7 linked regions of the Nothobranchius furzeri genome follow. The protein of the gene in region 7 purifies or fractionates together with the protein of the main gene of each other region. This does not show direct contact. Links are inferred from orthologs where the notes say so. Each region holds a gene or a part of one and is shown on either strand. Other genes may lie near its edges.

The links.
Region 1: the proteins of zc3h18 (region 7) and ncbp2 purify together in Homo sapiens (co-immunoprecipitation; 3 studies listed by BioGRID and IntAct, with this or other methods). This does not show direct contact. The link is inferred for Nothobranchius furzeri from reciprocal best matches to the Homo sapiens genes ZC3H18 and NCBP2.
Region 2: the proteins of zc3h18 (region 7) and casein kinase II subunit alpha' purify together in Homo sapiens (affinity purification with mass spectrometry; 3 studies listed by BioGRID and IntAct, with this or other methods). This does not show direct contact. The link is inferred for Nothobranchius furzeri from reciprocal best matches to the Homo sapiens genes ZC3H18 and CSNK2A2.
Region 3: the proteins of zc3h18 (region 7) and chd4b purify together in Homo sapiens (affinity purification with mass spectrometry; 3 studies listed by BioGRID). This does not show direct contact. The link is inferred for Nothobranchius furzeri from reciprocal best matches to the Homo sapiens genes ZC3H18 and CHD4.
Region 4: the proteins of zc3h18 (region 7) and srpk2 purify together in Homo sapiens (affinity purification with mass spectrometry; 3 studies listed by BioGRID and IntAct, with this or other methods). This does not show direct contact. The link is inferred for Nothobranchius furzeri from reciprocal best matches to the Homo sapiens genes ZC3H18 and SRPK2.
Region 5: the proteins of zc3h18 (region 7) and sf3a2 purify together in Homo sapiens (affinity purification with mass spectrometry; 3 studies listed by BioGRID and IntAct, with this or other methods). This does not show direct contact. The link is inferred for Nothobranchius furzeri from reciprocal best matches to the Homo sapiens genes ZC3H18 and SF3A2.
Region 6: the proteins of zc3h18 (region 7) and nuclear cap-binding protein subunit 1 purify together in Homo sapiens (co-immunoprecipitation; 3 studies listed by BioGRID and IntAct, with this or other methods). This does not show direct contact. The link is inferred for Nothobranchius furzeri from reciprocal best matches to the Homo sapiens genes ZC3H18 and NCBP1.

Annotation. Positions count from the first base shown.
Region 1 is NC_091748.1:71,743,112-71,747,404, reverse strand, and holds the start of ncbp2 (nuclear cap-binding protein subunit 2), read right to left. Parts: upstream 2,801-4,293; 5' UTR 1,773-2,800; coding exon 1,698-1,772; intron 1,608-1,697; coding exon 1,521-1,607; intron 1,283-1,520; coding exon 1,188-1,282; intron 713-1,187; coding exon 574-712; intron 1-573. UniProt on the Homo sapiens protein: Component of the cap-binding complex (CBC), which binds co-transcriptionally to the 5' cap of pre-mRNAs and is involved in various processes such as pre-mRNA splicing, translation regulation, nonsense-mediated mRNA decay, RNA-mediated gene silencing (RNAi) by microRNAs (miRNAs) and mRNA export.
Region 2 is NC_091749.1:31,588,393-31,592,327, forward strand, and holds the start of casein kinase II subunit alpha', read right to left. Parts: upstream 2,801-3,935; 5' UTR 2,475-2,800; intron 922-2,474; 5' UTR 820-921; exon of another isoform or gene 715-819; 5' UTR 652-714; coding exon 545-651; intron 464-544; coding exon 352-463; intron 165-351; coding exon 63-164; intron 1-62.
Region 3 is NC_091745.1:74,032,285-74,036,532, forward strand, and holds the start of chd4b (chromodomain-helicase-DNA-binding protein 4), read right to left. Parts: upstream 2,801-4,248; 5' UTR 2,652-2,800; coding exon 2,588-2,651; intron 2,142-2,587; coding exon 2,017-2,141; intron 1-2,016. UniProt on the Homo sapiens protein: ATP-dependent chromatin-remodeling factor that binds and distorts nucleosomal DNA. Acts as a component of the histone deacetylase NuRD complex which participates in the remodeling of chromatin.
Region 4 is NC_091744.1:58,271,275-58,274,774, reverse strand, and holds part of srpk2 (SRSF protein kinase 2), read left to right. Parts: intron 1-1,437; coding exon 1,438-1,530; intron 1,531-1,811; coding exon 1,812-1,904; intron 1,905-3,500. UniProt on the Homo sapiens protein: Serine/arginine-rich protein-specific kinase which specifically phosphorylates its substrates at serine residues located in regions rich in arginine/serine dipeptides, known as RS domains and is involved in the phosphorylation of SR splicing factors and the regulation of splicing.
Region 5 is NC_091751.1:56,891,866-56,895,850, forward strand, and holds sf3a2 (splicing factor 3A subunit 2), read left to right. Parts: upstream 1-1,185; 5' UTR 1,186-1,274; intron 1,275-2,013; 5' UTR 2,014-2,036; coding exon 2,037-2,234; intron 2,235-2,328; coding exon 2,329-2,375; intron 2,376-2,496; coding exon 2,497-2,606; intron 2,607-2,695; coding exon 2,696-2,745; intron 2,746-3,056; coding exon 3,057-3,197; intron 3,198-3,274; coding exon 3,275-3,343; intron 3,344-3,421; coding exon 3,422-3,673; 3' UTR 3,674-3,900; downstream 3,901-3,985. UniProt on the Homo sapiens protein: Component of the 17S U2 SnRNP complex of the spliceosome, a large ribonucleoprotein complex that removes introns from transcribed pre-mRNAs.
Region 6 is NC_091741.1:71,547,690-71,551,917, forward strand, and holds the start of nuclear cap-binding protein subunit 1, read right to left. Parts: upstream 2,801-4,228; 5' UTR 2,663-2,800; coding exon 2,629-2,662; intron 1,005-2,628; coding exon 916-1,004; intron 844-915; coding exon 743-843; intron 660-742; coding exon 503-659; intron 423-502; coding exon 315-422; intron 1-314. Other genes in the region: thiosulfate sulfurtransferase/rhodanese-like domain-containing protein 2, read left to right, coding at 3,046-3,171, 3,536-3,822, 3,922-4,030, 4,131-4,228. UniProt on the Homo sapiens protein: Component of the cap-binding complex (CBC), which binds cotranscriptionally to the 5'-cap of pre-mRNAs and is involved in various processes such as pre-mRNA splicing, translation regulation, nonsense-mediated mRNA decay, RNA-mediated gene silencing (RNAi) by microRNAs (miRNAs) and mRNA export.
Region 7 is NC_091744.1:81,886,523-81,890,022, forward strand, and holds part of zc3h18 (zinc finger CCCH domain-containing protein 18), read right to left. Parts: coding exon 3,417-3,500; intron 3,084-3,416; coding exon 2,869-3,083; intron 1,636-2,868; coding exon 1,536-1,635; intron 1-1,535.

The sequences.
Region 1 (4,293 bases), on a different chromosome or scaffold from region 7:
CGGGAAGAGAGGAGACTTGAGTAGAAGGACTTTAGTACAGACACGTTGGGACCGGATCGGGAGTTCTGGTTCTACGAAAAGATGGATGAACAACTTGAGGTGAGTTTGGGAGTCAGAGACACTAATCAGAGGCTGGCTTCCAGATAATGGCGGGCGGGGATCTTGTGTTGGACATGACGAGGAATGGACAAATTTGATGTCTTTTGATTTAGTTGTTTTTAATTCAAACTAACAAGTAGAGCAACGGTGTAGCTATTCTTTTCTATTTCTTAGTTGAATTAGCAGACTTCATGCTTCCAGGGCACACTGCTGCCCTCTGCTGGTTCTTTCAGGTTACAGTCATAGTCCAAACGGTAACGTGGAGCTCGTATGTCCCTAAACAGCTACTGTATTTTAAGATGGTGGATGACCATGGAGCCTCGACCACAGATTATGTATATAAAATGTATAACTATATAAGTTTGCAGTTTGTGAACTGCAAACACAGGATTTGATAGTAAACTGGTAAAAAATATCACACACTGGGCCTTTAAGCAAGTTCACATTATGAACCAAAATGACCGTAAACCTCACCTGTCCTCCAGATTTGCCACGCCCGTACTGCCTGCCCTCCTTGAAGCCTGCGTCCCAGTCTGTCCTGATGATCCGGTCATCCAGCCGGGTACCGTTAACGAAGCGCATGGCGTTCTCTGCGTCTCCTCGTGTGTAGTATCTGGTACAGGCGCAGCTAAGGTCCACACTCTGTTCATTTTCACATCAATGCTACCCTTTTAATACACGACCAGTCAAGACAGAAACACTGTTGACATTTAAACGGTTTGTTTTCTTGTGCATCAATTGGCTTTACTAGATCAGGTGACGATAGAGCAGCAGTACCTCAGGAGGTAGAGTGGGTTGTCTAGTAATTGGAAGGTTGTAGGTTTGATCCCGGCTCCAGCCAGAGAATGCTGCTGTTGTGTCCTTGGGCGAAACTTTTAATCTGCCTTGTCTGCTGGTGGTGGTCAGTAGGACCGGTTGTGCCAGTCTATGCACCCAGGGCAGCTGTGGCAACATTGTAGCTCATCATCACCAGCGTGTGAATGTGTGGGTGGGTGACTAATTGTGTTGTAAAGCACCTTGGGGGGCTGTAGAACCTTAAGAAGATGCTATACAGATACAGGCCATTTACCAATAGTTTAAAAGGATACTCAACAAAACAGAATCCGCAGGCAGTCTTCTTGATTTTATCCAGGCCGATGATGATACGCTTCACGTCTCCACATTTAGCAAACAACTCGTGCACCTGTTCATATTAGCAGTGATTCGAAATATGCCTTCAATCTAGTATAAACCAGCCACAACCGTCTAGTTTTTATAAGCCAACATTCATCAGATCTCAGTAGTAGCTACATCGATCTTGAACATCGGATTATTTAGCTGGTTATAACCACGTTTAGAAGTTCTGAAAGGTTTTCATGGAATAATGTAAGAAGTAAAGCAGTCCTCAGGAAGCCGAAGCTAGCTTTATTTAAAGGTCTTACCTGCTCTTCCGTTGTGTAAAAGGAGAGGTTCCCAACATACAGAGTGTTACTGTGCTTTAGCAGCTTCTCCTGTTCATAACGATTACCCTAAAAACAAACATGACATAAAACTACTCTTAGAGCAGGAGAAAAACACATTTACATACAAAAGTCGAATTCATTCACCTTCTCCCTTACCTTAAAGTGTTGATCTCTATATTGACTAATCTCAGTGTAAGAATCGCTGGTTAAAGCGTTTAGTTTAGAAGACATTTTGGATAAATGACTACTTAGGCAGAATGCTAACGACGCGAGTTTGGATGATGTACTTCCGGGTATTTTGTCCGTCCACTAAATACATCCGGGAGGAAACACGGAGGATCGCTAAATTAGATCATTTTGCGTTTGCTTACAATTTTTTTTTAAGTTTTCGCCTTCATCCGAGCTTTGTAGTTGTTTGTGTGTGTGTTTCTTCTTAGTGTATTAGTGGGAAAAACGCAGAATGCTTTCAAAACTGGAAGTGTTAATCATTTATCAAGAATCAAAAAAGCAGTGAATGGACATAATCTAAATCAAGTCAAATCAATATTTGGTGTGACCATCTTTTGCCTTTAGAACAGCATCAGTTCTAGGTGCACACACACATTTGTTGAAGGAACTGGGCTGGTTCTAAACATCTTGGAGAACTAACCACAGATCATCGGTGGATATGGACTTCTTCACATCCTTCTGTCTCTTCCTGTAATCCTAGACACACGATTGATGTTGAGATCAGGCTCTGTGGGACCAGACCATCACTTTCAGGATTTCTTGTATTTTGGTGCACTTGGACTGCACGTACCTTTTGACCCTAAGGTGGTAGAGAACAAGAGAACCAAGCTCCTGTGGGACTTCCAGACCCAGACTGACAAAATGGTGATGGTGAACCAACCGGACATTGTGGTGGTGGACAAACCACAGAGATCAGCCGTTGTGGTTGATGTGGCGATACCAAGTCATGCAAATCCGGGAAAAGGAGCACGAGAAACTAGAAAAGTACCAGGGCCTCAAAGAAGAACTTAAGCTGGAGAGTGAAGACATCGGTGGTGCCCATGGTCATCAGGGCAATAACCCCCAAACTGCAGGAGTGGCTAAAGCAGATCCAAGGAAAACAATCAGACCTCTCAGTCCAGAAAAGTGCAGTTCTAGGAACAGCTAATATACTGCAGAACCCTCAAGATCCCAAGCCTCTGGTAGAGGACCCAAGGTTGGAAGGATGAGACCACCCACGGAGGGTGAGATGGGGATTTTTATATCAGCATCAGAAGTGTTTTAATGCCATATATGTGCAAGAAATCTCATTAGCAAATTACTGATTTTATATATATATATATATATATATATTCTTTTTCTTCCAACATCAACACCTTCTGCAGTTTTTTTTAAATATTTTTATTTGTACATCTTAAATTCGATTTAAACATTTGCATCTTTATGCTTCTTTTTTTTTATAAACCACGTCCTGTCTGGCTGTAAAGCAATCAGAATTTATGTCTGAACGCTGAAGACGAACCTTACAGTTTTACTCTGTCGGCTAATTTTTGTTTTCGGGCGTTTTACTTGGACCTGAAAGGACGTTTAATTGCTTCTGTTTGAAATATAAATAAAACTGCCTTGTCTAAATGAGATGGTGTAATGGATTAACTTCTAACTAAACCTAATCATTCCTTCATAAACATATGTTTAGGAAAGCAAATACCCAAGGGTATTGAGTCAGTGTCGTCTTCCTCCGCTTATCCGGGTCCGGGTCGCGGGGGCAGCATCCCATCTAGGGAGCTCCAGACCGTCCTCTCCCCGGCCACCTCCACCAGCTCCTCCGGCAGGACCCCAAGGCGTTCCCGGACCAGATTGGAGATGTAACCTCTCCAACGTGTCCTGGGTCGACCCGGGGGCCTCCTGCTGGCAGGACATGCCCGAAACACCTCCCCAGGGAGGCGTCCAGGAGGCATCCTGACCAGATGCCCAAACCACCTCAACTGACTCCTTTCGATCCGGAGGAGCAGCGGTTCTACTCCGAGTCCCTCCCGAATCTCCGAGCTCCTCACCCTATCTCTAAGGCTGAGCCCGGCCACCCTACGGAGGAAACTCATTTCGGCCGCTTGTATCCGCGATCTCGTTCTTTCGGTCATTACCCAAAGCTCATGACCATAGGTGAGGATTGGGACGTAGATCGACCGGTAAATCGAGAGCCTGGCTTTCTGGCTCAGCTCCCTCTTCACCACGACAGATCGGCTCAGCGTCATCACTGCAGACGCCGAACCAATCCGCCTGTCGATCTCCCGATCCCTCCTACCCTCACTCGTGAACAAGACCCCGAGATACTTAAACTCCTCCACTTGAGGTAGGACCTCTCCCCCGACCCGGAGTTGGCAAGCCACCCTTTTCCGGTCGAGAACCATGGTCTCAGATTTGGAGGTGCTGATCCTCATCCCAGCCGCTTCACACTCAGCCGTGAACCTACCCAGCAAGAGCTGAAGGTCAGAGCTGGATGAAGCTAGGACAGTCAGTGAGTCAGTGTACTTTTCTATATAATTACGAAGATGTGGTGCCATTGGCTACTGTCTGGATCCCTCCCATTGTTTTCCTTTTACATTTTAACTTGTGACAACAGACCTGCGCAAAAGTAACCGCACAAACTTACAAGGGAACCACAAGGTCAACATTTTATTTTTCTAACTCAAACTCGTAAACAAAACATCACCTATAACAACATGGCCTCCAGCATGCCTCTTGTTTCATTATAAAAATCACTTGT
Region 2 (3,935 bases), on a different chromosome or scaffold from region 7:
GACCGGATTAACGCGGCTGACACGCCGACATGCAAAACAGCCACAGCGTGTTTCAGACTCACCACTGGGTCTTTGACGTTGTCAATCAGGCGGATGATGTTGGTTCCACCTCGCAGGTTTTCAAGAATTTTTATTTCCCGTTTGATCTTCTTCTTCTTGACGGGCTGAGGATGAAAGGAGGTACAAAGATCCACTCAAAAAAGCTACATACAAGGAAAAATAAAGTCTAAGCACTTTGTCCGTGACCTCAGAACATGAAAATGGATTACTCAGACAATTGTGTAAGACAAATAAACCTACATACATGACATTTGTTACAGGATGGACTGCTGGGAAGTCAAGACATCTCACCTTGAGGATTTTCACCACAACTTTCTCATTGTTTGTTACATTTATGGCCTCAAATACTTCACTGTACTTCCCTCTGCCCAGTTTGCGCACCAGCTGGTAGTTGTCTTGGTTGCTGAAAAGAGAAAAATATTTTAAGTGTGAATAAAAAGCTGTTTGATTATGCTGATGGTAACTGTAGTAAGATATTCTGTACCTCCAGTTTGGCATGTGTGCGTCATAGTCCCAATACTCTCTGTTCTTCTGTGTGTTGACATCGGTGTACACCCGAGCCTTGCTGCTGGCCGGCGAGGATCCGGGCATCGCGAGCTTCGACGCTCCGTGTCGGGAAACTCCCCCTTCCTCAGAATACTTGTTGTCGCGATACTGGAAGGCAGCGCAGCGGCTGTACTGAGTTTGAGGCTCTAAGATCCCTGTGTTGTGTTTACCATTGGCATTGGCTGCTTGTGCTCTCTGGTGAAAAGCACTGACCTGGTCCACAGGGGTGGCTGTGCAGACCGACAAAGCTACAATTATTGACTGAGTGAAGCCCCTGAGACGGATGTTAGACAGGATGGGATGAAGAACCGCCAGCTGTTGGGAAAAAAAGAAAAGAGCAGAAAAACCTGGAAGTTATTTTTTTATTACCGACTTGGCTGTTATCTGCATATAACTGGTATAAAAATGGTCTAAAAACAACAAAAGTATCAAGTGTGCAGCTGCATGCAAATGTGCAAAGTTAGTAAAAATAAATAATCATTAAACAATTAGACAAAATAAGTTACAACTTTGGACTTTTCATTTGCCTTTAGAACAAATTATTGCAGATCAATTCTCAAGAAATTTTTAGAAAAATATTTCTAAAATTTAACAATTTTACATTTAAAATGATCTGTGAAAGCTGTGAATCAACTGCAGCTTATTCAGAATGCTGCTGCTAGAGCCTTAACAAGAACCAAGAGAAGCGAAACACATCACTCCTGTTCCTTAATCTCTTCACTGGTTACCAGTAAACTACAGAATCAATTTCAAAGTGATTCTATTAGTTTAAAAATCACTCAATGGCATGGGGTCAGAATGCATGTCGGACCTCCTTCAGGTACATAAACCCAGCAGGGCTCTGAGATCCTTAGTAAACAGGCAGCTGGTAAAACCCTGGGTCAGAACCAAACAGGGTGACGCTGCTTTTAGCTACAATGCTGCACACAGAATAAATCAGCTTGCTTATGACCTCAAATGTGCCCCAACTCAACTCATGTAACTTTTAAATGAAAATGGAAAACTTTCATGTTTTCATCAGCCTTTGAATGGCTGTTTATATAACACTGCACATTCTGCACTGTAACTGCTTTCTTCTTTCATTTTTAAATCTAAATTGAATTTGTGTGTATTATAATTGTGATGTCGTATTGATTTTAATGTTCTTGTTATTCTTGTTAGTTGGCAAGCACATTGAACCGCCTCTGTGTGTGAAATGTACCAAATAAATAAAACTGCCTTGCCCTGTTCTCTGAAAATCCCTAAAGACTTTGGTTGTGTAGATATGGGCTCAAAAATCCACATTTTTTTCAACTACTATGTACAATAAAATATATAAAAGATGTTTTATTTGATCAGATCGTGTTTCACTTGTTTTGTGATGTTGATCTTTACCTGATCCGTTTCCTATAATTCAACGTTTCTTTCGTAGCCGTTTTAAGTCTATCATAATTTTTTCCGACATATTAAAACTTCCCGTCACCATGTATGTCTTAGCAGTCGTTTGAGCTTATTCACACCTTTCTTAAATCGGTGTATACTTCTCTAAAGTAACGTGTAGCTCTGGAAGTCTGATATATTTGCTGTCTACAGATTCCTCTCCTCTAGGCCCGTTCATGCTCCATCACCGCTATGTTCTGGTTCTGAAGAGCTTCTCCTCTCAAATACACATTTAATTCCCTCAAACGGCTATGAAGGATGTGAACAACGGGCTACTCCACAAGCTAACTAGATGGACCAGTTGTAACTGTCAGGAAGATTAGGTAACATCCTCTGTTAGAAATTCAACTGATGCTAACTAAGCTAACGAGTAACGATTACCTGTTTAGTTTATACAACTTTAAAATACAAACTCTGCCTCAAAAATGTGGAATCACAAAGACATTTACCGTCTGAATTCACATCTTCTTGCATACGAAACACGAATTAACCGCAATAATTATCAGCGTCGTCATTTCGGAGGCTAAAGTTAGCCGGCTAACCTCGTCGTCGGAAGCTGGAGCGCAGAAAACGTCATCAATGGTCGTTGGCTCGCGGGTTAACTTTGATGTCCGCGCGGTGATGTAAGCCCAGCAGGTCCGAGGTGATTGATAATGTGTCTGATTGATTGACTCTGACTGATGGGTGGCGGTGGTGGTGGAGGCACATCCAGCAGTTCTGCGGTAAACATCACCCGGAAGTTAACCGAGACGGAGCTCCTCCATCAGCCAGAAATGTGTGTGTGTGTGTGTGTGTGTGTGTGGGGGGGGGGGGGGGGGGGGGGGGGGGACCAGAAAATAAAATTAATACACGAAATGAATCACCGCACCTGACTAGTGCTCTTCAGTCTGTTTGCACTTACTTTTAAGTTACGGGACATTTAAATATTTTCTTCATAAAGACTGCAATAAATGTCACAATGAAAATGTTTTTATACAATTAATATTCCTAAAATTATTTAAAATACGGGAATCTCGTAACATTATTCAAAAGTTTCATTATTCTATAATTATTTGGTTTTTTCACCATTTTTGTTTCATGGTTTAAAATCTACCATCAAGACTTTTTGGGAGTTTCTGAGTTTTTGAGAACCAGTTGTGTCTGTTTTCTGTGAGGGACAGACTGAGACATTACTCACTATGCCCAGTGATGTGCATACGACGTTATTTAACTTTATATTGTCTCACCGGCTGTTTTTCCTGCATATCAGCTGAAAAACGTTCAAAATAGCTACGTGTTTGTTTCAAAGTAGACAATGTTATCATAAACGAATTTACTATTAAAAGATGATTTCAAGAAGACTAAACGCCAAATCAATATTTGAGGAGACAAGATGGGCACAGAATTTTCCAGTATGTCAACGAATGTATGAATTAAACCATCAAACAATTTTAAAATAATTTTGGAAGTGTGGAGAGCTGGATCGTGTACGACCATCAGAAAAAAGTAAAGTAAAATAAATGTTATAGTTTGAATGTGTAGAAGCTGAATAGTAAAAATAAACTATGCTAAATAGATAAAACAAAATGTTGACTTTATCGTATATCTGCAATTAAACATACATTTGAATTATTTTACTTGCCATTACTAGTATCTTCATTATATTTGGAGTTCTAGAGTTTAACATTTTAGCTATGTCAAAACAAATAATATGTTATGTTACATTAAATTTATATTGGCAAGGTGGATTATCTAATAAATCTAATTTCTACAAATATGGGATTCCAGAGACAATAATGTGATATTTTAACTAAGTCTCCTGCTTTAAATTTGTTTTTATTCATATTTGTTGTGGCCAATAAAAAACAATCAACTTTACTGTTCATCAGCCGAACTGGTTAGATCATGAGCTGGAAAATAATTTTTACATG
Region 3 (4,248 bases), on a different chromosome or scaffold from region 7:
AGAAGGTTTGGTGTGAGAAGCAAGCTGACCAAGAGAGTCTCTGACTTTGGGAACTAGCTTGTCTGGGGCACAGATGAGGTTGAAGCAAAGCTTGAAAACTGCTGCAAGCTGACTTTGTAAGAATGCTCATTAAGCTGTTGCAGAGCCGGTTACACTGGACGGCCACAGACTTGCAAATCACCCTCACACTGACCATTTTTTGTTACAATTCTCTTCACAATGAGGGATTTGTCTAGGAAGGCCAAAAAATGCAGTGTAGTCCGGGCTTCAGCAGTACAACAAATAACTTCTGGGTTGCTCCTGTTTACTGGCTAATATCCCATCACAAACTCTGGAGTTTTTGCCGGCCAGTGTTGAATAACAAATGCCAGTACAGACTCTGCTTCCCCGTGGGCTCACACAGGACCTGCCCAAGCCTTTGTGGGGCCCTGAGCAGGATTTCCTTGGAGGCCTTCATACCAACAAGTCAACAGCAGATGATTCATCATTCCTAGGCCACACTATGTGTGTACCATCCTATCATTAGCATAATTTGTAAGCAGCTTACGATTTTTAAAAAATGGCTTGTATTTGCGAAGCGCCTTCTTAGGGCTCTACAACCCCCCAAGGCACTTCACAACACAGTCATTCATTCACCCATACACACGCTGGTGGGGATGAGCTACGATGTAGCCACAGCTGTCCTGGGGCAAACTGACAGATCACATCACATCAGTGTTTTGATGGCTATTAATTTTAACTTTACAGGAGTAATGAATCAACAAAAATGCTTACTTTAGCATTTCCCAATGCAGTGTTGTTTAAATGTGGTATATTAATAAACATATTTCAAATATATTGGTTAAAGTTAGGGTTTCTGATAAACCGGCTATCAACTGTTAAGGGGCACCAATAGCCGGTTAAAGACATTTTGGAAAACGTGCATCCTTAACTCCTTTGCTGCCAGCGTTTCTCACCGTTTTTACAGTTTTTTTTAAAGAGTCAGAGAATGTTGCGCCCTAGGGTGATGTCGACGCCAAAACTACCAACTCACCTCTTACATCAGGAAGAATCCGCGCGTTTTGAGCGTTATCCGTTCTTTCATAATCCGTTGTTGACTTGTGATCGGCAGAAGCTTTTCCGGTTCGCGCCTCACTTTTTTTTACAGCAGCGGCCCAAAACGATCTCCTACCACATGGATTTGCTGCTTCCTGATCATGTGACGTGTGACGTATGCGGATAAAGATCGGCTTTAGAGCTGAGATGTTTGTTCTCACGGTGCGGGGGCTCGTTCCGACGCCCACACAGTAAAAACATGCAAATGACGTCTTTTGCCGTCACTGGCAGTGAATGAGTTAACAGAAAGTAATATTTAATTATTTTTCTGGGATTAGCATTATTTACTTTGTGTGGCACGGTGGAGAAACGAGGGCCCAGGCGGGATTCGATCCTCAGACTCCCGGGTGAGAGTCATACGCTCTAACCAGTCAGCCAAAGGGACATCCCACTGGCCAAGTAGCCAGGGCGCATGATCAATCAGGACACTGTGACAGGACACACACTGTCACATTTGTATTATTTAAAGTTATTAAAACATTATTTCAAGTCATCTGGGTGCTGTTTGGGGACCCCAAGCAGTCACCTTGTGCCGGCTCTGGGCTCACACATTTAAAAAAAAGACTAATTCCCTCTTTGTCCATGTCAAATGGAGAAAAACTAACAGCCCCCAGCTGCCTGATTAGAAAATCTGTGTCAATGTAACCTTCCTTCAAGCATGATTGAGACATTAGACCGTTTGTCTGACACTGAAATGTTATTTACAACATTTAAGTGTGACAAAAAATAAAACACAGCAGAATGTGTAGGGGGGGGGGCTCACCATCATAACTTTGTATAGCTTAACATATTTTTGTTATTTTTGTATTAAATATAGAGTTTTAACAGACTAAATGCCTTCTACAGTACCTTGACCTTTGGCCTAAACTTATAAAAGAGCTTATTTGGATGTATAAAACTTTATCAGAGCGGTAAACTCGCCTCCCGGATGGGTCTCTGCCTCTTGCTGCTCCTGCTCTCCCGGTTGCTCTTTTTGGCTTTCTTCTTCTTCTTTGACTTGGGTGCCTCTTCTGCGTCAGAGACAGCATCCTCCGGCTCGTCCTCGTCTGTAAAGAGACACGGTTACCGGCAGAGTACAGACGGACAGAAAGCACCGCTGCTGCAGACCAGAGGGGAGGGAAGAAAAAAAACAAAAACAAGGAGACCGCGCGCGCGCCGTGGCACGACTGGCAAATGTCCGAGCACGCGCGCACACATACACAGCGTAAATGCCACAACAGCAGGTTGAAACTTGTAGTTGAAACTTTGACAGTTCACGCCCACCGTGGCGAGGACACGCTGGTGGGCTGGGTTACACGAAAACAAATTAAAAAATAAAAACAAAACTCCGAACACTCTGCTGTCCAAGTTAGCTAACTAATCTATCATGGCGAGTGACCCGAGCCGACTACTCCTCGCTAGCTTGGGCTAACGCTAGCATCGCGTTGAAGGCGAGCTCAAGTTACACAGAGATGGACCTTCTTCAGGAGGGGAGGAAAGCAGGCGAGCTTACCGTGAAGAAGTGAGTGCTCGTCATCGGCTCCAAAGTCCTCCCTCTCATCCTCGCTGCAAGACATGTTCCCAGCGTTTCTATTTGAATTCTTGGTGTCCGAATAAATCCTCCGTAAACCTTGCTCCTCGGTCAGCGAGGGAGGAGGGAAAATGACGTGGGACTGGTGGATAATGGACCGGGGGTGTCCAGGAAGGGAGAGGAGGCGGGGGGGGGGGGGGTCTGGGTGCAAGAGAAAAAAATAAATAAAAATAACAATACATTGCACAGGCACGAAACTTCCTTGTTTGTTATTTACATGCCGTCCAATTATCCACCTGTCCTCTCAAGCAAGTTAAATTAAAAAGATTTTACCCGCTTTGACATTAACATTAGCTGATTTACAGGTAGAGAGCCCCACACGGGAGTAAAGTGTGGCTTTCAACGACAGCCTCAAAAGGAACCGCAAACGCGAGCCGTCTTGTCACTAGAGAAAAGTTTAAGCTTTGAAATTTCCACCGTCACACACTGGAAACTTACTGTACTGCGCGTGTAGTCCCGGCGTGAGGTGAGTTCTCCCTCGGTGCGAGAATCAACACAAATTAAACTGTTCCCGCTCCTGTTGTCGGCCTTTGGTGTCCATTCATTAATCCCTGTGTGGTGTTAGCAGTAACAAGCAGTTCTTGTCTTAATGACCCGAAACACGCGGCTCCGTCCCCCACTTCTCCTTCCCCCCTACCTTAACAGGCAGCGCTTAGCTAACATCCTCACAAACACACAAAGGGGACAGGCATCCCATAATAATCCACCCCCCTCCCACACTCGCACAGGACTCTGCATAGTTACCTCGCAACGGACAGACCATAATACTCAGCCTGCCCCCACCCCCCTTCACCATTCGCGCGCACACGCGTACACTGCCAGTGCTAGGTGCTAGACATGCGTGCACTAGACTCATAGCATGCACACTCCTTCCCCTTTCCACTAGTAGTCCCACCCCCCCCCCTTAGCAACCCCGTTGTCATGGTGACACCCCCCTCCCGCTCTCCATGACAGACCATAATACTCCAGCAGTGGCAGCATACATCCCATAATATGCAACACCTAAATAGACAAAAAGGTAAAAAAAAAAAAAACAGTCTGATGGTCTCTAGGGGAGCTGAAGTGAAGTCCTCTGGTGACAGACCATAATACTCACTGAGTGCCTAAAAGTAAAAACAGAAAGACTCCGGTGTTGCCCCTTTGTGGGGCTCAGACAGGTAGCCCACATACCAGCGGCGCGGTGCGCAGGTCACACAGGCCCGCTGAGCTGGAGCGTTTAACCAGACCCTGAAAGAGGCTGAGGCCTCCTGGTTCACCACTTCATCATCACAACCCGACTCCTCCAACTTACTCCATCAGCTCATGTATGATTTACTCCATCGGCAGCTCATGTACGATCAGGTATTCAGCTGCATCCCCGAGCAAGCAACACCTGTGCAGAGTGATGAATGGTTCTGGTTTTGACATTGGTTCATAAAAAACACACAAATGCAAATTAATTTTCCAAGTTTAGTTTGTAATCCAGTAAATTAGACTTGTGCCGCACCGCCTAACAAAACATTGTACAATGTTGTGAACATGACTAAAACATTCATATGTTTGGGTGCTCACGTTTGGGTGCTAACCTTCAACAGCTGCTCGGT
Region 4 (3,500 bases), about 24 Mb from region 7:
GGATGACACCCACATTTCCAGTAAACTTAACTCCACTCTCCCACCCTCCTCCCTTACCCTCTGCCTCTCAGAAATCAAATCTTGGTTCACGTCTAATTTCCTCAAACTCGGTGGAAATAAAACTGAACTTCTTCTTGTCTGTACCAAATCCACCGTCTCCAAATCGGACAGCTTTTCTTTAACCATTGACAGCGCCACAGTCACCCCATCCCCTCAGGTTAAGAGTATGGGTGTCATTCTCGAAAGCTCACTTTCTTTTCATGCTCACATCAATAACATAACTCGGTCAGCCTATTTCCATATTTGATCCATAAACCGTCTCTGCCCCTCCCTTACCCCTCACACCGCCGCCATTCGTGTCCACAGTCTTCCACCTCGATTACTGCAATTCGTTTCTTTTTGGTCTCCCCTACAACTCCTTCATAAACTTCAACTGGTCCAGAACTCAGCAGCCCGTATTATCACAAGAACCCCTTCCTTTCACCACATCACCCCGGTTCTCCAGCAGCTTTACTGGCTTCCAGTTAAATTCAGGTCCATCTTAAACATTCTCCTCCATATATTTCAGACCTTAAACGTATTACCACCCTCTCCGGTTCCCTCAGATCGTCTTCCTCCCTCCATCTTGCTGTTCTTTCTGCCCGTCTCACTACCACGGGGAGCAGAGCTTTCAGCCGCTCTGCTCCCCGTCTCTGGAACTCACTCCCCCTAGACATCAGAAATATTGACAGTTTCACCCTCTTCTAATCCAGACTCAAGACACACCTGTTCAAATCTGCCTATGACCTCTGATTTTATTTGAATTTAGTTTTTTCTATGTTCTTTTCTTCATTGTGTTTTAATGTTGTTTTAATGTAATTTACTGAATGTATTTTTCCTGTAAAGTGACCTTGGGTGTCCTGAAAGGCGCTTAAATTTTTTTATTATTATTATTATCATTTGATCTGGCTCAGCTCATTGTGTTGTTTTTCTAGCTTCATGAGCCACAGTTAGCTCCCTTCTCCAGGATTTTTTGCATCAAGTCAGCGTCGGTTTTTCAGACATCCCAATTTACAGGAAACATCTTTGATCTATTGCAAGCCGAGTTGTCTTTGATGTATTTGTTTCACTTTTTTTTTCCTTTCCTTACTTCTCCTGTGGAGGCACAGCTTATTAACAGGATTTTCTTCTTTAAGATCTGTGATGGTTTCTCTTTTCTCTCTTTTCTCATCCCCCTTAACCTCATCATAATGATTTCTCTTTTATTCCTGTCACTCGCTATCCCTCTTTCTTCTTTGTTACCGGTGTTTCACCCTTATTCCTTTTTATGGTCTTATTTTGTGTCCTTTTTTTTTCTTTGATTCCACTCTCTTATTTTTATTTTTGGCTCTGTCTGCCTTTCATCCCCCTTCCTTACCTTCTCTGTTTTGGCCTCCTTCCACCCCATCTCCTCCATAGACCACATAGCCCACATCATAGAGCTGCTGGGCTGTATTCCGAGGCACTTTGCACTCTCTGGAAAATATTCCCGGGAGTTCTTCAACAGAAGAGGTAGCGCTGGCCGTAGAGCTGGTGGGGCTGAAACACAAAGATGTCTTAGAGGGACAATAATGGAAATGAGCAGACTGTTTACGTTTGGTCCCAATGGATAAACTGGATTAAACTTTAAGAAAAATGGAACAAATTCACCCCCCAAGTCTGCGAGAGTGTCCAGGCTGAGCCTCAAGCCATCTGTGTGTCAGCCCCGTGCAGCCAGTGTATGTGTGTGTGTAGATGTGTGTGCATGCTGTAATGTGCCTGTTCCCATTGTGATGTATGTGACTGGTGGGCAGACCACATCGCTCTGATCACGGAGCTCCTTGGGAAGGTCCCACGCAAAGTGGTTGCTGCCGGGAAGTACAGCCGAGAGTTTTTCTCCAAGAAAGGTAAACAGAACCAGAGTCCGTGGCTGCTTGGTGGGTTCGCTGTTGGCCTCATTCTGAGGAATGTTCTGGTGACAGAACCTAGACTATGTAATCGGTTTCTGTAAAGTTTGTTCCTCGTTAAGCATCAAGAAATGTTCAGGTGAGTATTTCTTTAAAGTCTCTTTCTGGAGTATTTCCCTTATCCGATGGCACCATCTAGTGGCTGACAAGCATATCACACAAATAATTTCTCCTTCCGTTTTATTAAAATGGCGACTTCACGTTTCTTGTTTATTTATGTCCTTCTGTTGCTGACAATCAGAGCTAAAACACGATGTTTTACAAGAATTATTCTCATGTCATGTTGTTCTCCTATATTTATACTTAAGAGACTTTCTTGTCCGTGAAAAGTTCATCAACTGTGCATCAGCCAAGGTATTTCTTAAATTTCAAGCACGTAAGCGGTAGTTTAACACTATTGGTCAGTTCTGGTCGGCACGGAAAGTCATACATAATTTCTGAACGGGGAAACTCCAGAAAGACACTTTAAACGGCTGAAATGGATACAAGGCTTTTGGACATCTTTTGTTTACAGAGACATTACATTGGTGTTGTCTCATGATGATATGAAGGTTTTTCTATTGGGGGGGGGGGGGGGGTTTCAGTTCGCTAGAATGTATGGGGGGTGGGGTGTGCACGCAGGGTTTGCCAAAAAGTTGATTTGGGGGTGACTTGTTTAAGAGGCATGAAAAACTGTTTAAAGCTAATTTGTTTTCCAAATTTACCATTCAGCTTTAATTAGAGTTCAACTCAGCTGGTAAAGTCTGCAGAACTGTGATGGCAGTAACACCTATAGGGGGCTGAAAATCATCAGCTTTATTTTTATATCACCAGTTCGCATCACAAGTGGTCTCAAGCATTCCAGTTGAACCCGCTGATTAAACAGTTTAGTTCATTATTCCAGTTAGTTAAAGGTTTTCTAAGGAACCCAGCAAATTGCATCGAGTCGCTGACTAGTGTCAGTGACTTTACAGCAATCCTTATACTAAGCAAGCATGTGGCGACAGTGGAGAGGAAAATGCCCTTTTAACAGGGATAAACCTCCAACAGATCCTGGATCAAGCAGTTGTCTGCCACGACTGAGAAAACAAAGCACACTTAAAAAAATCACCAGATGAACTGTGGTAGGAGTATTTTCTATGTTAAAGAAAATAAAAGCTAAAAACGTCTACAGAGAGGCTGCTCTGTCATCATTTTACTTTATGAAAGAAAAACATCCTAAAACTTCTCCTGAAAACAAATAAACAAGTTTTAAACTGTTATTCTGTCTGATGACTTTAGAGGCATGAAAACAAAAACACATTGGACTCTTATGGTTACCGGTCTTATTGAGTTAAATAGGAAAACAAAGCACACTTGTTTAGGTTACTGCTGATCTTTGGGGCTTTCTTATTACCGGATGAAAATCGCCCATGGGGAAAAGACAGAACTCATCATTTGCTGGTCTCACCTAGAAGACAAGTACAGTAGTTTTGTCAAGAATTGTTAAATAAAATGAAATTTGTAGAATTTATAATGTGAAAATGTGATTTTTGAGTTGAGGTTGTTCTAATCTGT
Region 5 (3,985 bases), on a different chromosome or scaffold from region 7:
TGCTCAGAAAACCTCACCATGGAGGCATCTAGGAGGCATCCTAATCAGATGCCTGAGCCACCTCAACTGGCTCCTCTACACCGAGCCCCTCCGGATGACTGAACTTCTCACCCTATCTCTAAGTGAGAGCCCAGAAACCCTGCAGAGAAAACTAATTTTGGCTTCTTGTATCTGCAATCTCGTTCTTTTGGTCACTACCCAAAGCTCATGACTAAAGGTGAGGGTAGGAACATAGATCGGCCGGTAAATCGAGAGCTTCGCCTTCTGGCTCAGCTCTCTCTTCACTACGACAGATCGGTACAACGTCCGCATTACTGCAGACACGATCTCATCCCACCTGTAAATCTCACTCGCCATCTTTCCCTCACTCGTGAACAAGACCCTGAGATGTATAAACTCCTCCACTTGGGGCAGGATCTCATCCCTGGACCCAGAGAAGGCATTCTACCCTTTTCTGACTCAGGACCATAGTCTCGGATTTAGAGGAGCTGATGCTCATCCCAGCTGCTTCACATTCGTTTGTGAACTGCTCCAGTGAGAGACGGAGATCACGTTCTGATGAAGCCATCAGGACCATGTCATCTGCAAAAAGCAGAGACCCCATCCTTAGGCCACCAAAATGAATGCCTTCAACACTTTGGCTGTGCCTCGAAATTCTCCATAAAAGTTATGAATAGAATTGGTGACAAAGGGCAGCCTTGGCAGAGTCAACCTCTCACCGGAAACGAACCCGGCCTACTGCTGGCAATGCGGACCAAGCACTGACACCAGTCATATAGGGACCTTACAGCCCCTATCAGAGGGCCTGGTACCCCATACTCCCAAAGTACCCCCACAGGGTCCCCCGAGAGATGCGGTCCAACACCTTGTCTAAATCTACAATTAGTTTAAATCCAGACCCTAAAAGTGAAAGCAACAAAATCAATAAAAGTTGGGAAACAAAACCATAGCAAAAGAAATAATACAAACAATTGATCCAAAATTAAAGAGAACATATTAAATAAATAAACAAAAATGCAAATGTTTCATATCGTTTTTTTAATTTATTTTTCACATTTTAAATGTAGCCCTTTACTCCTAAATAAACTAATCTCTTAGGTCTTTATTATATGCTTTTATCCGCAAACGTTTGTTCGTCGGTCAGTTTTACTCCTGACCACTAGATGGCAATGAATGTTTGAAACTATTTATGAACTGCTTAAGCTGAGAACCAACACGCATGCGCAAAACAATTCTGTCCATCACAGTTTGTCGTTAGATTTGTTTGGGAGAACGTAAGTTTATTTATAATATTTAGCTAGTATTTTGTTGTGCAGTTCGCTGAGCAGTAACGCTAAAACATTGATTAGGCTATATTTAATTTCATTCTGATAGTTTGTTCATTTTGGTAGGTTTAAAACTATCCTTGCATATATGGTAGCACTGTTAGCATTGTCAGAACGACGTCCATCGATGCTAAATGCTAACAGTAAAATGTGCGCGAAAGGATAGTTCAATATAGGGATTTTCTAGTTATGTTATTAAAAATTAAGACGTTTCAACCTAGAATCATGACAAATTGATAAATTGATGAAAGGGGTGTCGGGAAGAAAGTCTTTATGATTTGAGTTATAGATTTAACACATACACGCATACATACATATACAGTCCTGACTAATGTTCACTATTAATACTACATTTAAGGAACTGTGCCGCTCAGATATTCATTCTGGCTGCTGTAACACATAGCGTTACCATTTTATCAGCAATTATATGAAAGTTGTTGAATTTATATTTATGATAGTGTTACTACGTGCATACTGCTTTGTACAGTACTTATAGTTGTGAATGTTTTCTACATTTGAAATAGCATATGTTTCTCAGTTTTATAGGGATGGTAAAAATAAAACACCAGGGGTTCAGTTTTAACTGAACTGGCTTTTTCTGTTTTTTGTTTTGTGTTTATTTGAAGAAATACACGATACATTATGTTTGGTCTGTCCCTTTGATGCTATATGTTTATGTTGTCTTTAGACTGAGTTCATCACTTCAAAAAAATGGATTTCCAGCATCGAGCTGGAGGGAAGACTGGAAGTGGAGGGGTGGCGTCTGCCTCTGAGAGTAACCGGGACAGGCGTGAACGGTTACGTCAGCTGGCTCTAGAGACCATCGACATCAACAAGGACCCCTATTTTATGAAGAATCATTTAGGTTCTTATGAATGCAAACTTTGTTTGACACTTCACAACAATGAGGTGAGGAGGCACTTAACGGATTGGATTGGGCTATGTTAGAATTTTTGATATTTGGGAATTGTGTTTCTAAAGAAAACCCTCTACTTGATTTTAGGGCAGCTACTTGGCTCACACACAGGGAAAGAAGCATCAGACCAATTTGTAAGTCAACCTAAAACATTCTCTAACACAATTAATTGCTACTAGTTCAATATTTGTCAGTAAACATTTTCCTGTATAATTTTTTCTTTCTGAGTTAAATCTTTTCTATTTGGTGTTTTAGAGCACGAAGAGCAGCCAAAGAGGCAAAAGAAGCGCCGGCTCAACCAGCTCCAGCAAAGGTTAAAGTTGAGGTCAAGAAGTTTGTCAAAATCGGTCGACCAGGATACAAAGGTACACTGGCTGCATGGTTCTATATTAGATCAACATTATTTGGCTTTTTGTAACAACTTTTGATCCTCGTCTTTCTCTTTTTTTCACAGTGACAAAACAGAGGGACCCAGAGACTGGTCAGCAGTCTTTACTTTTTCAGGTGAAAATAAAAAATATATTTTAATTCTGGAAAAATCCTGCTGTGTTTCTGGGAATCTGAGACACTTGATAATAGGCTTTATGCTTTATTGTTCGTGTGAAACCAAAGTTAAATGCCATCATATGTTTAGCTCCACTTTAATTATTTTCCAGCCCAATATAACAGTTTTGCTCCCATTGTATGACCCCATTGTGGACACCACTTGAAGATGCGTTGCAGATACAAAACAAACTCCTATAGTTCCTATCAGGGCAATAATAACCAGATGTTACAACATCTGACAAGTTGTTTTTATTTCCCATATTAATCAGATCGACTATCCAGAGGTTGCTGAAGGAATTGGACCCAGGCACCGTTTCATGTCTGCTTATGAGCAGCGTATCGAGCCTCCTGACCGTCGCTGGCAGTACCTGCTGTTTGCTGCTGAACCATATGAAACTATTTCCTTTAAGGTGGATGAAAACTGTAATTTTTGTCATTGTGCTCATGTGTCACATTTCCGTAACATTAAAATGTTTGCTCCTTTAAGGTCCCCAGCAGGGAAATTGATAAAGCAGAAAACCGCTTCTGGACTCACTGGAACAGGGAAACTAAACAGGTACTGACTCTGCTTTGTTTTTACTAAAAAACTAATTTAAAAAATTTTCTAATGTATGAATGTTTTGTTTTCGTTCAGTTTTTCCTGCAGTTCCACTTTAAAATGGAGAAAGCCATTTCTGGTGGTCCAGCTCCTCCTGGCAACTTAAAGCACCCCGCTTCACTTATGAGTGGCCACCCATCAAACGACGGTCTTCCACCTCCACCACCAGGAGGGATGTCTGTTCCTCCTCTGCCACCCGGGGCACCAGGTCCCCCCCAAATGCCCCCACAAATGCCCATGCCCCCCATGCCAATGAGGCCACCTCCCCCAGAGGGCCTTATGCAGTGATAATTTGCTGTTAGAAATTGCATTGGTGGTCAGTTGTTCTGCTCTGCCTGTTTTGTATTTTTAGGATGTTGGATATCTTCAGTAGATTTTCATAACTTTGTTTGCCTAAAAATAAAATTCTAAAGCTAAATGTTATGGAAACATTATCGTCCTCTTGTAAACTAATATCTGGACACATTTTTATTTCTTATGTCCATTTTTTAATTAAAATACACAAATACTGAAAATACCTGAGTGTTTGTTCTACAAAAAATACAGAGAATTATCTGAAGTTTACTCTGATCAGGTTAAAATAAAACAAATCAACAAAAT
Region 6 (4,228 bases), on a different chromosome or scaffold from region 7:
CTGTTAACAATTCTGAACAAATCTGTTTCCCAAATAACTGAATCAGAATGACATAACCCAAGTTCACGTTTACCTTTATTTATTTACTGAATCTTTATTTAACCAGATGAGTCAATTGAGAACTCATTCTCATTTACAACAAGGGTCTGGCAAGAGGCATTAGCAACAGACACATAATTAGCTTTACACCAAAGAAAAACAGATAAGATAAAAACGTTAGACAAAGGACTGTTCTCATATAAAATATGTACAAGCAATTATAACAATCTTTAAGTACTCAGAAGCAGGCATATTGATCAGAAACTGTTGATTACCTGTGGGACATCCTCCTCCTGAGTAACACTCACAAAGTTTTCAAACATGGCCACCATAGAAGGAGCAGCAATCACGTGACAGTTGACCAAGTCAGACAGAAAACGCACCTGAAAACCAAAAATTAACCCATCATGATGAATTTTAAACTCCCTTTTGTGAAGATTTATTGTGTGAAAATCAGCTTTACCAGGTAAACAGCTTCATTGTACAAGTTGTTTTTCAGGGTCTCCTTCAGCTGTCTGATCATGGCCTCCACAAACTCGCCTCCAAAGTTGTAGTTCCTGGCGTTGAGAAGGCCGACCAAGGTTGTGTAGACGGTAAGCTTCTCAGGTAGCAGGCGGGCGCTGTTGACACACAGTGCTTTAGTAAAGTCTGCCTTCTGAATGCCTCTTTATTAATCAGAAAGCAATAACCTATACAAACATACACAGAACATAAAATACGCAGAATTTTGTTTTTGTAGTTTGGAAGATCTGCCTCTAAGACGCCCGCAAGGCCCTCCAAGTTGCTCTCGAGGGATGATGTACTCTGTTAATAACAAAATACAACAGAGTCAAGTGATGGAGATTTCAGAGCATCTCTCTGTCTGTCTGCTCTTACTTTCTCCCCAACACGACATATCAGGGATTCCAGACGATCTTCAATCTCAATAGGTTCAGAAGTTCTCCTCCTCTTGTGAGCTTGACCTCCTGGTGGGTAAAAGAGTCACACAATCAACACATGTTCATAAACTCTGACCGACACCACAGAAAACACCAACAGAATCTGCGTAAATGAGTAATACATGTAAACACTTGCATATTTATTTGATAAAGGTTGTGTTGTGCTAAGAAACACCTAGATTAACAGAAATTAAGCTGATGTTTAAAAGCTTACACTTTTTAATCGAAGCAGTGCCTTTTAGCAACTTCATCATTGTAACCCAATAAAGGTATTCCTCTGTTAAGGTCACCAGACACAGACATCGCCACACCATAACCCAGTGTCCTTGCATGGCATCAGGGGGCAGACAAGTGTCCGAGTTCAGACTCACTCTAGTTCAGTAGACAAGAACATCTAATCCTAATGTTCAAAACAGTATTATCTATTGAAGATGACAGGCCAAGTGTGTGTGTGTGAGTGTCTTGATAAGGCGTAAAGACTTGCGCAAAAGAATGAGCAACACATCAAAGTTGATTCCTTTAACACAGTTTACGGAGTATGAGAAAGTTTCTTCTCCTAACTCACATCAACACATGAGCCCCTTTTTAGATAATTAATCTGTTAGCAGCATTATAAAAGGAGAATGTCAATACTTTAGCAATTATTCTGTTCCAGAGTGAAGTTCAAGGCTTTTAATCCTTGCTATTTTGACCTGTTGAGGACATACTGACAATGAGACATTATCTGCTTGACAAACCTTCTCAGTGGCCTAGTGGTATGGGTCTCCACCCTGCGACTAGGAAATCAGGGTTCAAATCTGGTTGGGTCATACCAAAGACTTTAAAAATGGGACCCAATATCTCCCTGCACTCAGCTTTAAGGGACTGCATTGGGGGACTAAACCACCAAATAGTTCCCAAGTGCAGCCATCGCTGCAGTTCGCTGCTGCCCACAAGGATGTGTCAAATGCAGAGATGTAATTTCACCAGTGTGCGATGATGACTAATGGGACTTTAAATAAAACTGACAACAATGGAAGGTTTCTGAAACATTCACTTGAAGCTCACACATACTTTTAGGCAGTTACATGACTATTTAAGATTTTTCTCATTCCATGTTTTGTTTTCCATTACCAGCATCTGCATATTATACATGGGTTCAACTGTGAACACATTTCTGTACAAGCAAAAGGGAGAAACGTTTAAAAATGGAATACGCACTGCTTTAACAAAATCAATAGGACAGACACTGGAAATCAAATATTTTCTCTAGAATGATGCTTGTTAGCAGTTTAGCTCACCACATGACGTGTCAGGATTAATTTCCGACTCAGTTTTACACTTTTAACAACTTACCAGAAATGATCCAATTATCAGGTTGTGTATCTTTTACTCATTGGTACCGCCTCCATATCAGTTTAGTTAGCCATCAATCAGCTAACAGTAACAGCATAGGTTATTGGCGGTTGTCTTACGCTGTTCATTCAGCTTCGCTGTTTAGTTTTGCACAAATGTCAGCTGATAACGAGTTTGCTCTTTTTAATTTTGATGGAAGCTATCCAAAAACTCCACGTGTATTAGCAAAACAAATAACCAACATGGGTGAAGGAAAGGAAAACACGCTAATGTTAGCCTATTAGCCTAAAGTGTGACTGAATCTCCGCCGATTTACCGTCATTCTCGTCGCTGTGTCGTCTCCGGGACATATTAGGCCACTTTAAAATCCACACAAGACAACCAAAAGAAAAAACCGATATGAAACGAAGCAGCAAGTCGGACGAACTAGCTGATACTTAGTTAATTTAGCCTGTGCAACGCAGAAACCACCGCAGAAAAATAACAGCGGTATGATTCAAGTGGAGAACTTCCGGGGCAGCACGAGGTCAAATGAAAAGTCCGTCCTCCTATTTCGTCCGACATTGTCGGAAACACGTTTGTGACCTTTTTTTCCTCACCGTGTTTGAGAGTTTATGTTTGGTAAGATGGCAGCAAATAAATGTTAGGACAGCAAGGCACGATCACTGTCTTAAAATGTATTTAATTTAGACAAAAAATCGACTAACTGGCAGTGTTTAACAGCTTCGTTAGGATGGAAGCGATTGAAACCGGCTGCTTCATGAATTTGGATGTTGATTTTTCGACAAGTAATGGATTAAAACAGGAGAGACAACTTTCTGCCTCACAAAGAAGATACTACAGTTTCTGCAGAAGAAAGGTGGGGAAAAAACAATGACCGTTTGTTGGCTTTATGATGAGCTAAGTTATAATAATAATGTATACTTTTTTGTGTATTTCTGATTTGAATGCTGTTTTTGTATTGGTGTACAGCGCTTTGTTTGTCCTCCTGGGCATGTGAAAGCGCTCAATAAATAAAGTTGAACTTATATTATGTAAATACTGGTTTATTTAAATAGTTGTAAATGCAGCATTTATTTTATCTGTTTACATGTCTGACAAATGTTAGGTATCAAAATAAAAACAAAATAACCTGCAGCGACAAACTTCATCCCACATTAAACTTAGAATTTTGCACACATTTACTTAAACTAAATGCCATTCGTGCTTCTTCCTTTTCACAGTCATTTGCTGCCTTCGTAGCATCGAAGAAGGAGTGTGCAGGAAAAGGAAGCACATCTTGGTGCTGCTGTAGCCTGACCTTCGTCGAACATGCTGAGATTCACCAACATGTGGCCAAAACTCACAATTCTAGTATACAGCAGCTCACGCAGGCCACATATGAACATTTGCTAAGCCAGCTGGAAAAAGACACAGAAACACAGCAGCTGAAAGGGAAAAAGACGGAGGCAGTGGACATTTCAATGTGGATACCAGATATCAGCCACATCCCTGAGGGTGAACTAAAAAAGTAAACAGAATGGAGTATATACATATCTATATCCATCCCCTTTATAGATTTGATCAGATTTCAACATATGCAGATTGTTTATTTCTTGTTTTTATGAAGTGGTCCTGGGAAGGTTCTGCTCTATTATTGTTACTGTGAAGTGGACGATCCACATGCTGTCTGTGCATGGCAGGAAGCTCTGTGTGAGTCACTTCACCTAACCGGCAAGGTAAGAAAACCCTTTCAGCTAGACTCTAGCACATCATATCAGAAAATAGAGGATTTTAAAGAAACATTTAAGTAGTTAAAATGTCAATCATCTTCTGTAGGTAAGGGTAGCAGCAGAAGGCATCAACGGGACAGTTGGTGGTACCAACGTGGCCACTGATCTTTACATCAATGCAATGCTTTCACATCCTTTCTTCAA
Region 7 (3,500 bases):
GGCAGTAAAGGAGGGAAACAGCGCTGCCGCACGTAAGCTTGGCATGAATGAATCCGTGGTTTGGCGCTGGAGACGGCAGCGGGAAGAACTCATTCAAGCCAGCTTCACCCGGGGATGATGACAGCAACACAGAAAAGGTATGTGACGAAGCTCTTCTGAGGCTGTTCCACTCCGACACTGAAGAAGAGGACTTTAATGGCTTTAGTGCGCAGGAGGAAGATGAGAGCGAAAGACTTTTTCTGGTAGGCAAGTGTGTTTTATTTACTAACCAGGAATGTTTCGTGTGCAGTTTTTATTTTCTAATCATCCAGGGCTTATTAATGCTGTGTCAGCGCTGTTCTTTCCTTCTAAACATGCAAATGACCGGTAGTAACGTGTCAGTGCTGTTTTTATTTTATAACATCCAGAAATATGAATGCTATCAGTGCTGTTTTCTTTTATAAACTTGCAGGCACGTTCACCCGTGTTTAAAATTCGTTTTGTTGAATTAAAACAACAACGAAAAACCTCCATGTAGCGTCTTTCTGTCTAACTATCGTATGTTATGGCCGTACATGCGCTGTGTGCCGAAGACCTGCATGTGGCTGCTGCGCCACGGCTTGTATTCGAGTGCGGCGTGTGTGTGTGTGGAAAACATTTCTTTTTTTGGTTGGGGCGGCTTATATTGAGGTGCGCTCTATAGTCCGGAAATTACAGTAAAACAATTATAAAGTTTGACTGATCCAAAGTGTGAAATGTGAATTTTACAGTTTCAAGTAGGCATAGTTAACATTCCCTACAGACGCTGAAAATCACTGCATCAGAAGAAAAAAGCATTTGTTTAGTCGATTAAATTTAGTTTGGTCCTTCAGTAAAACAGATCACGAGTGAATAGCAGTTTAATTCACATGATCAGGCCCATTATATTGTGACGTTTGCAGATATTGTTGACTTCCTCATACCACCAAGGATTTTTTCACAGTGTGAAATAATAATAATAACAATTAGAGCTGGTGCTGGACAGACCAGAGGAAGGAGACGGTGAGTCGAACCACAAGCAGAAAAACCACCAAAGGGAAGACCTGACGCACGTGAAAAGTGACAAATAAAGAAAACACCTTCTTGCTGCTTGATAATAAAAACAGTTTCGTCACCTTTTTCTTGAAAGTTACATGTTGGATCACACAAGAATAAACTACATGGAGCTTTGATGCGTTATTTCTACGTGAAAATGAAAGCAACGCTTTGTTCAGCAGCCCGTGCTTTCCCCCTGGTTTAATTCTTTTACTTTATAGCACGTCTCCTTTACATTTTACAGACAGCTCACAGGGACCGGGTGAGAACCAACAGAACTGTAAACCTGGCAGTGAAGCTTAAAAGATAGACGGCTATTTAAAATCAAAGGCTTACTCGAATAAACAGACTTCTTGCAGTTTTCTGATTGGCTGGAATAACATTTTTTCTCTTTAGCTCAAAAGGCAAACCAAGTTTTGACCCCGCACTTTTAAAAAAGAGGGGGTGCAGTTGCTGCAGTGATCGGGTGTCTAGAATCTCACCTCTGTCTGGAGACATGGCCATTCTCTTGCTGAGAGGAGGGCTGGGCCGGTCTTTATCTGCAGGCAGGTACCGCTTCCTGTTGCCTCTGTCGCCCTGTTGCTGAGAAACGAGGAGCTGGGATAAGCGCCAGCATTCACTTGTATTTCTGATGGTAAATATAAACAGAGAAGCTGAAATCCTTATGATTTTAGCACAAACAGCTAACCTGCCTTTGACCTAGTACCTCCGCTCCAGCTCACCTGTTTAAAGGTTTGAATCGCCCGTTTGGTCCAAACAAAACGATCAGAGTGGAAAACAGACGAGCCGGTGGGCCTACGCTGGAGGAACCCTTACAGCGGGTTTGGGTCACAAGGAGCGGAAGTAAACTGGTGATTGTTGAACCAAAGCCACTGCTAGAAACACCGGAGGTACTTTAACTTATGCATCGTGATATTTTACTATAAAATCTGTCGTTTACTGTAAATATGGAGCATCTAAACGTTTAAAAAGCTTTAAAAAGAAAAGTCTTGATCCATTTAAATGTGTTGAAGATGTCTTAATAAGACATAATCAAAAGATCCACAAAGTGTTGCTAATTTTGACTCTTAAAGTATTTTTGCATTCATCTGGCAGCCTGCTCACATCTGCATTTGGCTTTAAATTCTCCATGATGTCATTAGGTCTAAAAACAAATAGCCTTGTTTATCTTCTCTAGTTTGTGCATTGGTGTAGGTTTGGTGGGGACTTATAAATCTAAAGGTTATAAAAAAAACGGTGGTTTACACTACAGTTAAAACAGTTTGTGCCAATAACGTTATTATGATGGACTCGTTTCTTTAGCAAACGTAACTTTAAGTGACTTACATGTTTCTTTGGAAAATAGCTCATGCCTCCATCCTCACTCGCTTTTGGCACTATGTGTCACGTCACATTGCAAACACAAGAGTCTTGATTTTGAATGTTTTCCTTCTAGCTTTGGCGCTGCTAACCGGCGTAGCTTGTCACGTGACAACATGCGCAGCCAATCACACCAGCCTTATGCGTTACGGAGGTAGGACTCGAGCAGAGAACGTCATTTAACCCTTTCTGCACCTCTAGGGTAACGAGACACTCGACATGCTTGTTTGTTTTAGCGGAGGCGGTCAAGAGATTGGTGGGGACTATTTAGTCATCACTGGATATTGGTAGGGACATCATGTCACTTCCGTCCATGCCAAATCTACGCCCATGAGTTTGTGCATCAGCCTCTGGGACTGTTCCTCTCTGAAGGTTACGTCTCGTTTCAGGGGCCATTTTTCTGTCTTCAGCGCAAAAATCTGACTGAAACGTTTACAAGTACAGCGTGGCAGTCACCTTGTTGAGGAGGGTGAGTTTGATGTCTTTGTGGGAACCTGAACCTCCGTAGCTTCCAGGAGGGCCCATGTTACCGGGTCGTGGGTGTACAGGGTTGCCTCCCCTGGTACCGGGGCCTGACCGGGGCACCGGGTTCCCTCCTCTGGGCGGGCCCCCAGATGGGTCAGGTTTCCTGCGATCGTCCCTGAAAGGCTCTTCTTTCTTTGATGGTCGTTCTGAGAGCACAGAAACATTTTAGTTCAAAACCTTAAATAATAAATACATTTTCTTCATGTTCTTGTGTTTTTAAGATATTTTTAAATGAATAAAAATTATCATTTTTTCCAAATAACCTCGTAATTTTTATTTTAAGAGGTGCTATACAAAAGATTGTTTCTTCTTTTCCAGGTTTGTCAGCATCTTACGGAGGTGAATTACACACGCAGGACCAGAACATTTGTGTTTAACACATTTTTATAATTCTTTTTCTTGAACATTTTTGTTCTAGAACCTCAGTTAAACTTTTACAGCTAAGTGGAAGCCGATGCTTCAGTCTGCGCCACACTAACCCCTGATCTTGTCCCGCGCCAGCGGGGACCGGTTTCGTGCAGAAACTCGCTCTCTGCGGGGGTGATTTGGCATGGGCGAGCGAG